Sus scrofa: one gene and its partner. The protein of the gene in region 2 interacts with the protein of the main gene of each other region in a pairwise test. Links are inferred from orthologs where the notes say so. Each region holds a gene or a part of one and is shown on either strand. Other genes may lie near its edges.

The links. The genes of interacting proteins can lie anywhere in the genome.
Region 1: the proteins of C6H1orf94 (region 2) and TBX6 interact in binary tests that used the Homo sapiens proteins (3 or more experiments, as listed by UniProt). The link is inferred for Sus scrofa from reciprocal best matches to the Homo sapiens genes C1orf94 and TBX6.

Annotation. Positions count from the first base shown.
Region 1 is NC_010445.4:18,275,059-18,279,455, forward strand, and holds the start of TBX6 (T-box transcription factor TBX6), read right to left. Parts: upstream 2,807-4,397; 5' UTR 2,319-2,806; coding exon of another isoform or gene 2,288-2,318; exon of another isoform or gene 2,242-2,287; intron 1,863-2,241; 5' UTR 1,814-1,862; coding exon 1,696-1,813; intron 1,604-1,695; coding exon 1,369-1,603; intron 875-1,368; exon of another isoform or gene 677-874; coding exon of another isoform or gene 534-676; coding exon 266-533; intron 183-265; coding exon 36-182; intron 1-35. Other genes in the region: YPEL3 (protein yippee-like 3), read right to left, coding at 3,364-3,430, 4,250-4,311. UniProt on the Homo sapiens protein: T-box transcription factor that plays an essential role in the determination of the fate of axial stem cells: neural vs mesodermal. Acts in part by down-regulating, a specific enhancer (N1) of SOX2, to inhibit neural development.
Region 2 is NC_010448.4:90,439,230-90,443,754, reverse strand, and holds the start of C6H1orf94 (uncharacterized protein C1orf94 homolog), read right to left. Parts: upstream 2,823-4,525; coding exon 2,494-2,822; intron 1-2,493.

The DNA of each region.
Region 1 (4,397 bases), on a different chromosome or scaffold from region 2:
ACAGGGGCGCCGCCCCCTCCGCCGGGGTCACTCACCCGCGGGTTCTGATAGGCTGTCACGGAGATGAACGCGGTCTCGGGGAAGCGGAAGGAGGCCACGCCCCCCCAGTGTTGGCTGCAAAGCTGGGCGGCCCGCACCAGGTGTATGCGGGGCTGATACTTGTGCATGGAGTGCAAGATCAGCTGGGAGGGAAGAAACAGGGGTGACTCCCTACCCCGGCCCCACCCCCACCCCCCATCGGGGGGGGTCCCAGCCTGGGCCTCACGTGGCCGTGGGGGTCCAGCGTGCTGTTGGTGAGCTTGACGCGGTGAAAGGACACAGGCTGCCGCATCCAGTGGGCACCGGTGGCGGGGGAGTCGGGGTGGATGTAAACGCGGTCCGGCAGGCGGGGCTCTGCCTTGCCGCTGGGCTCCCAACGCCGGCCCTGCCAGCGGTAGCGAGCCCCATCCACCGGAACCACATCCAGAAGAAACAGGTAGCGGGCCTCGGGGTCCAGGCCGGTGACAGATACTCGGCAAGCGGGGAACATGCGCCTGAGCGGAGGAAGGGACGCGAGAGGCCTGGAGCTACCTACCCGCCGGGGTACAGCACCAGCCAGGCGGCATAGCCACAGAAAATCAAGGGACCTGGAATCCGAGCTCCCAGGGCAGATCTTAGGGCCGTAAGCTTGTCTCATCCCATTTTACAGATGAGAAACAGGACAGTGAGTCACACAGCAGGTTAGGAGCAGGTCCAGACTCCTGACTCCTGGCCCCTCAAACTCCATTGCAGAAGCAGGAGTGACACGGTTTTTTTCCCCGGAAATCTTCCCAGGAGCCCTGTGTTCCCCAGCTTGATCTCCAGCACCAGAACCTGTAGCTGCTGGAGACACTTGCTTCAGAGAAAATAAAAAGGGGCCTTATCATGCCAGGGCCTGAGTTCTCGGCCTAGATAAAGACCCACACACAGACCATATCCCTGTCACCAAGGTGACCCCAGATCTAGTCACATCCTGACCTCTGATCCTGGCCAGACTTCCCTGCTGCTGGTCAATGGCCTGACCCCACTCATAGTCGAAATCCTGACCCTGGCCACAGACTGACCCCTGATCCAGGCACACGCTAACCTATAACCTAACCAGACTTTCCGACCCTGGCCCAGAATGACCTAAGACTCTTGCCATAGGTTAGTCCCTAAACCAGCCGCAGATGCCACAGACTGACCCTTGACCCTTGCCACAGAATGACCCCCTGTGCAGAACCCCTGATCCAGGCCATAGTCACACTCTTACGAAGAGCCCTAGCCCCATCCCCTGGACCTCTGCCTTTCCCAAGAGACCCCCACCAGGGACACCTCCGGGGTCCTCTGACCCTGGCCCAGCCCCCTCACCTCCCGGCTTTGGTGATGATCATCTCTGTTCCTACGGAGTTGAACTCCTTCCACAGCTCCCGGTTCTCCAGGCTCAGGCTGACTCCAGGGAGAGAATGAAGGGCTTCTGGGGCTGGAGGGGGTGGCTCGGTGCCCAGGGCTGGGGGCAGTGGGGGTAGAGGTGGGGGCGCAGCCAGAGGGCGGGGAGCAGCTTCAATCCCAGAGAGGAAGCAATCCAGTTTGGGAGGGTCCAGATCTGGAGATGGGAAGAGAATGAGGAGCCAGCCGAGGGCCACAGCCCCCCACCCCAATTCCTGCCCAGGAACTGCTCCCACCGCTCATGCTCACCCGGGTAGCGATAGCTCTCTGCCAGGGCAGGCGGGAAGCTGGAATCTGCCCCGGGCTGGGGGGGCCCAAGGCGGTAGCTGGGCCCCAGGGAGGGGTACAGCTCCCGTGGATGGTACATGGAGTAGTCCTGTCTGGCCTCAGGTCACGCTGCCTAGAGTGCCCCGGTGCTGAGAGATGCCCGCTTTATAGCTCACAGCTCAGCCCCTTCCAAACCCAGGATCACAGCCCCTCCCCTCTTTGGGGCCCTGGAGTTGGGCTGGGGTGGAGACCCCTGGGGCCTGGAAGGGGTCCAAGAGGGGGCCGGATACCTGGGTATCCTCCCTTTCTCCCCTCCCCACCCCCCTAGGCTTCATTAGCCCCGACCCCCTGCCCCCTCATTACATAATTAACTCCTCGGCCTGATTGATCCCCGGGGCTCGACAGGGACGCAGTTTGGCGCTTCCGGCCAGCTGGTCCCCGTTCCCACGGGGGGAGCCCCGGCTAGGGATAAGCTACTGAGAGGCGGGGCCTGGGCCCAGGGATGGAGCTCGGAGTCCTGGCACAGACCTTGGCGCCCCAGACTTTTTTGGCAGGTGACCCCTCCACCCTTCACCTGGAGGGTGAGATGTGGAGGAACGAAGCATGACTGGAGGGAAGGAGCAGGGCTGGAGGGACGCGGCCTGAGCTCACTGGGGAATTCGAGGAGTCCGCAGCTGAGGCCTGAACCCTGGCGTCCTTCTTGGTTCCCATTCCGAAAACCCTCCACCCTCGGCCGAGTCTCAGAAGTTTAAGAGACGCCCGCAGCTCGACGGTCTCTTGACGGCTAGCACCTGGGTTTCCCAGAAGGTCCCGCGCTGGGGAGTCCACGGAACTACACTTCCCAGCAGGCCTAGCGCCTGGGTTCCGCGCGAAGGAGACAGGCAGATGCCGCTGTGGCCGCTGGAAGTTGTAGTTGAGACGAGGAGGGCGGTGAAACCGGCGGCGCCGTTGCCTCCCGGGAGAGCAGCCCCTAGGCGGCGTCTGAACTCTTAGGCTGAGAAGATGCAGATCAGCTGAGGTCAATGCCTCACGAGCTAGAGTGGGCTCGGGGAATCTCCACCGGCAGTGAGGTCCTTCCTGGGTGCCAAGATAGCTGAGCCCCAGGTGCAAAGGTTCTCAGCTTTGACCGCCGTGCCTACCCCACCCGGGATCCAGAAGGAAATGGGTCTGTAGAGACAGGAGTCTGCATTTGAGTCCCCCCTTCCCGGATTCCACGTGAGCCTGGGCTGTCTCCACTTCATTGTTTTATTATGTACAAACGCTACAGAACAAGGGGAGCAGACACGCGTGGGGTAAGAGGGGCCCGGTGGGAGGAGAAGTTCACAGGGCAGATGGCGCACTGGGGCCAAGAGAGCAGCACACAGGCCATGTCTATAGGGCAGGCAGGGCAGGAAGGGGTTAAAAACGAGATCCAAGCCAGCCAGATCGCAGGGAGGTGCGGGGGTGTCGTCCACCTTGTCCACCTTCTGATCTCCCACCAAGGTCACAGTGCATGCAATAAAATATATGTACAGGATCCTTCCTCGGCAGGGGCCCTGAGGTCCAGAGCTCCCTTCGGATGGAGGCAAGCCCGTGGCGCCCCCTGGCGGCCAGGCCGGGCTGGAGCCACAGGCGTCAGGAGCCAGGGTCAGTCCCAGCCATTGTCTTTGATCATGTGGTTGAGTTCAATGATGTACTTCCCCTCTTTGTACTTCTGGCTGCTCTCGAAGGCCTGTTCCTGAAAGGAGGGGAGAGGCTGTCATGCTTGGAGCTAGGGCCTACCAAAAGGAGCAGGGGTTGGGGAATGGATATGATTTGGCCCTGTTTAACGTAGGAGGAAACTGTGACCCAGAGAAGCCCAACCACCTGCCCATAGACACAGAACTGGTAAAGGGCAGGGCTGGGCTTCCCACTGACAGCGGACAGACAGAACTCTCTGAATCACAGCTACTTTTTAATTACTAATGTTGGCTCCAACAGAAAGGATATGGAAGTTTCCAAAAGATCCAGGGATTACAAACTGGTAGCTTGAGGGCCATTTGGGGCCTATACCTATGTTTGGTTTGGCCAACAGAGAGTTTAATATAAAGAACTTTAGAATACTAAAATATGGGGCAGGCTGTGCTCGCTCCAGTTTGCCAGACTGCCCCCCTCCTCTCCAGATCTATGCTGCCCTTTTTTGCAGATCAATAGTATCTGCTTGGCCCTGCAAGCAGCTGAGTTTCTGATGTCTGGATGAGGCCATCTCTTTATTTTACAGAGGTTCAGAGGCCAAACCAGAGCACATTTGTGGCAGGGCCAGGGGTGAACTCAGGTCAGGGTTCTGTCTCTGCCTGGAGCATCTGTCTCACAGAGGCCCCACTCTTGTCCTTTGCGGTTTTCCAGCAGCATCTTCTTTTGCTGCATCTAATCTGATCCCCCTAACAATCTTGGGTGCCAGGTGGTGGCTTGATCCTCCACTGCCAGATAAGGAAATGAGACTCAGGGTAGTGAAATCAAACCCCGAACGGCAGCAGGGGGCAATGAGGGCAGTGGAGAAGGAGGCTCATGAACCCACCACGCTCCATGTTGCTGTGGGGCCTTGGGCAACTTCTCTGATCCTCTGAATGGCAACAGAAGCTGGGGAGCAAGGGTTTGGAGTTAAAAAAAAACAAGGGTTCTGGTTCCTGTTCTGTAACTAACCAGCTGTGTGACCTTGGGGAAGT
Region 2 (4,525 bases):
CTGTCCAATATTCTGACTCTCCAAAAAGATGCCTCTGTTTCTAGGGGAAGATAGCCAACACTATCATGGATGACTAAGATGGTCCTGGGTTTGCTTTCTCAAACTCCACTACTTCCTAATTGTAGGACTTCTTGAAAGGGAAATTAACCCCTCCAAACCTGTTACCTCATCTGTAAAAAGAGTATGATTTAAAAACAGGGGAGGGAAGAACTGAAACAAGAATGGCACAAAGTTAATAATTAATGAAGCTGATTGATAGACATTTCACTATACTATTCTCTTTTATGAGTTTGAACATTTGCATAACAAAAAGGAAAAAGAGAGGGAGTTTAAAATAGTACCCACTTCATGTAATAATTGTAGGGCTTAAAGAAATCATCATCATTATTACAAGGAATTTTTACAAATCCTAGTTATTACCAGGAATGTTTAAATATCCATTTAATCATCCCAACAACCCAAAGAAATGCATAGTAATCATCTCCATTTGGCAGATGAGGAAACTGAAGCTCACATAAATTAAACAAATCCTGCAGCTGGCACAGGGCTGAAATGCGATCTGAAACCAGAGCTATCTGACTCTACCATCGCAGCTGCCTTTATTTCAAGAATAGCTCATTGTGTTTGACGTGGTTGATATCTGCACGACTATGGTATTGCTTATTCATCAAAGGCAACGGTTTCCTCGCTCTTTTCTCATAGCAGACCCCTTTTTTCAAATGCAGCCAGTACGCAGAACTTCAGTAAATAAAACCCCTAAAAGCTGAACAGCTCTGGTTGAGGTGGGGATTGGGACTCCAGCAGGGCCCCTGAAGCACCATAGGGTCTATGAGGATCCCGTGAAAACTGCAGATAGAAGCCATCAAAAACACCAACCAAACCCAGAACCCCAAGAACTGCAATTAGGGACAGCCTCGTTGGTATAACGCAGCTTCCAGTTTTCTGTCTCCCATCACATTTGATTCTCATTATCAACTCTGAGGTGGACAAGGCAGGGCATATTAGCCTCACTTTGCAGATGAGAAAATCAAGGCCAAAGGGAGTTAAGCAACTGGCCAAAGGTGTGCCAGTTCGCTTCTTGGCCAAGCACAGACTGGAATTAGAGTCTGGCTCCATTAACTCCCTGTGACCTGGCAGAGAGGGTGCCATCGACTGGAAATTGCCATTGACCCTTGGTCCATAAAGTGGACAATCAGCTCCTTGGCCACTGAGAGCTGAACACAGCCCCACAGGCCCCCTGCCAAGGCCTTGTCCCAGAGCAGATGGTGGTGGGCAGAGGAGAGGGGCTCGGTGGCACTGGAGGGCCGGATAGCAGGATTTTGGCTGTAGATAGGCCATTGCCATCCCAGCCATGTCCTGCTGAGCAGGGAGCAAGGGAGGCGATGACAGCCAAAGTGCTTTCCACCTTCCTGTGTTGCAAGTAAGGGAGCTCAAAAAAGGACAGCAGGTAGCGCAGAACTGGGGAGCAGTTACACTTTGCATAGAAATTCCTGAAACCAGATGCAGCTGATAATTGCCTGAATGGCTCCCTCACTCCAGAGCATCTCTGAGCAGAGCTGGAGCATGTGTTGAAACAGGCAACACTTAATTATCGCTTAGTCTTTAATTAGCACTTAATTATTAACACCTAATCCATCTGTAAAATGGGGACACTAATACCTGCCTCATAGAGACTCTGGGAGGATTAATTAATGTTTGCAGCCCACTTTGAAGATGCAAAGCAGCAAACAACTGCTCAGTGGTGGCATGAATAACTCGGTGGATTTACTTGCTCTTCCTAACGAGGTCCCTTCTTCCTCTCTGTTGCTCCCTTTCCTTTCTAATATCCATCCCCAACAACATCTGCCCAACTTTGCCCTGGTGGAGAAACATTTAGCTCTGCGTTTCCCAGACACAGGATTTCCCATCCAGGAAACGGGCTATTTACAGCCATCTTCCCGCACTTTAATTTTCTATTATGTCCTCTGAATATGTCAATGCCTTCCCAGTAAATATTTTGATGTGCGCTCTTGCAGCAGCTTCTGTGGAGGCTGAATGGGACAGCTGCTCCCTGTATTAGGGAATTCCAGATGTGGTTTAAAACCATCAGACTCATCTGTGTCAACGCCTAGCCTTTGGGGGTGGGAGGGGAGAAGGATCTCCCTGTGCGTCTGAGGAAAGCCGTGGACATCTAACCCTCAGCCTTGGCTAGGGTGGCTTTTCAAGGTCTTCAGACCTACATCTGAGTAGCCTATGCCTTGGAATGAGAAATTGCCCTTAGTGGGCTGGGTCAGAGGCAGCAGCAATACAGCCCTGGTCTGGTTCTTTGCCCAGGTAACTTCAGGACCCCAATCAATGCTCCTATAAAGACGGGGAAAAAGGACCATTGTGGGTAGAGGAAATATACACAACCTTTAGGGTTTAGCCAGATTCAACAAGAGGTCAGAACATTCCCCCGGAGGGTGAGCCCTCATCTCCTCCCTCCTCCCCTGGGTCATGAAAGGGGACACTCACTCTTCTTGGAAGCTGGGCCCGTTGTCTCTTGGAGTGCCAGCCACAGGGGCAGAGAGCTGCTCCTTTGAGGTCCTGGGCTGCAAGGCCTCAGGCAGGCCCTGAACTCTCTTCCAGATTTCATGGCAAGTCTTGTCTAAGCTGTCTTGGGGTGTGTCCTGGTGGATCCAGATGTATCTGGGAAATGGGCCTAGGGCGGAAGGGCGCTTGGCCACCAGGGCCGAGGACAAAGCCAGCCCATTCCCACTGGCCATCCTCTTCCTCTCTTTCTGGAAGCCCCTTTGTCCACCCAGAGCTCGAAAACAGGGCGACCATCCACCACCACCCCTCATTCACCAGAAAGGGAGATGAGGATGGGGCAGAAGCAGGTCAGTTCTGTCTGGCTGTTGGTCCAGCAAAGTGACTCTGTTCAGAGGCCTTCGATGTGTGTATGAGTGGTGGCTGGATGACAGCTTTCTTTTAGGGAGGGGGAACTTATTTTGATTTGTTTTTATTTGCTCTTTCCTGACTTTTGCCCCCCTCACCCCCTCCCTTAGAAGAAAATATTTAAAAGTCAACAAAAACCAGTAGCTTAGTAACCGTAGAATCCCCCTGTGCTCAGGAACCAGGCGCCTGAGCCGGCAGAATGACATCTGGGAACAGATGAAAGGGGAGGGCTGGCTCTCCCCACAGTCCCTGGCTCTCCCCACAGTCCCTGGCACTCCCCCGTTGCGACACGTCCGCAGCAGCCCCTGACACCTTTTGGTGTCTGGGGCTCAGCGCATCATCGCTGGCTAAGCCTGGAGGATGACCAGGTGAGGGCCTGGCACTGTGCTAGGCACCAGGGTCCAGCAGCCTGCCATGGGATTCTCGTCTGGCTTTCCCAGGGACCCCGCTCCCACCTAGGGCCAACCGTCCCTAGGTCGGCAGAGGCCGCTACCCCCTCCCCCCCCACTTGCTCGCCCACTGCCGCCTCGGGTCCCCCCTCTCTTGGCTACTCTTCCGCCTGCAGGAACACTGTTGAGTGCCCTGGCGACCCCCCCGGAGACACCTGCCACGGCCCTAGGGGTCGACGGGAAGGGTCCCAATGCTTTAAAAGAGCGCTGTCTCAGCGGGGCAGCTGGGGCCGATTCGCTTGCCGGTGGCTCCCACACCCTTTCCGTCCAGCGCTGGAATTCCGCGGAGGGTTTCAAAAGCAACGGCTCGGTGCGCGCGCGCTGCGTCCTAGGTTGGGAGGCCCAGGCCCTCCGGTGGGCGGAGGCCCCCAGAGCGCTTCCCCCGTGAAAAGTCGAGGGCACCGCGCCCTCCGCCTCGTCCCCCTCGCACCTCCGCACCCTCCTGAGAGCCTGCCGGTCCCTGCCCCAGGATCGCTGATTTCACCCCTAACTGTCCTTTGCTTGGGTGCTCACCGTGTGCCAAGCGCCCGGCTTTCCGTGGCCGGTTCACTCCGAACCAGCTCATGAAGTTAGTACCTTTACATATTATCCTTCCACGTTTGAAGAAACCCAGTCACAAAGTCCTGAAGGGACTGAGCCCACCAGGAACAAGGTAGTTGGGGTTCAAACCCAGGCACCCCAGGCTGCTGAAATAGACCGGCCGGGTCCTCCAGCGCTGCGTAAGCCTTCCCTGGGGGTGGACGGAGGTGCAGAGAGAAGGGCTAAGCTAACCTTGTGCTGCTCAGAGCGCTCCGCCCCTCGCTAGAGGGACTTTAACTCGGAACTGACAAGGCGCCTCTGCCTGCCCTCGGGCTCTCTGGCCCTGGGAGTCAGTGGTTGTTCCTCCAGAGTTTCCCCAGAAGAGGAAGTGCCAGAGGAGGGGAAAGCAGAAAGAGGGACCGACTCGATGGCAGCCCCTACACGGAGGGCCCCCTTCCTCCTCGGGTGACCCTGACGTCCTTCATTCCTTCGTCAGATATTGACTGAGCCCTGCTCTGTGCTGGTGAGTGGCTGGACACTGAGGAAGCATGAAGATGAGCAAAATGGGCGTGGTTCTCATGGAGCCTGTATTCTAGGGGAGAAAGACAGACGGCCAACTAGCAGAGCAAGTAAATAATAAT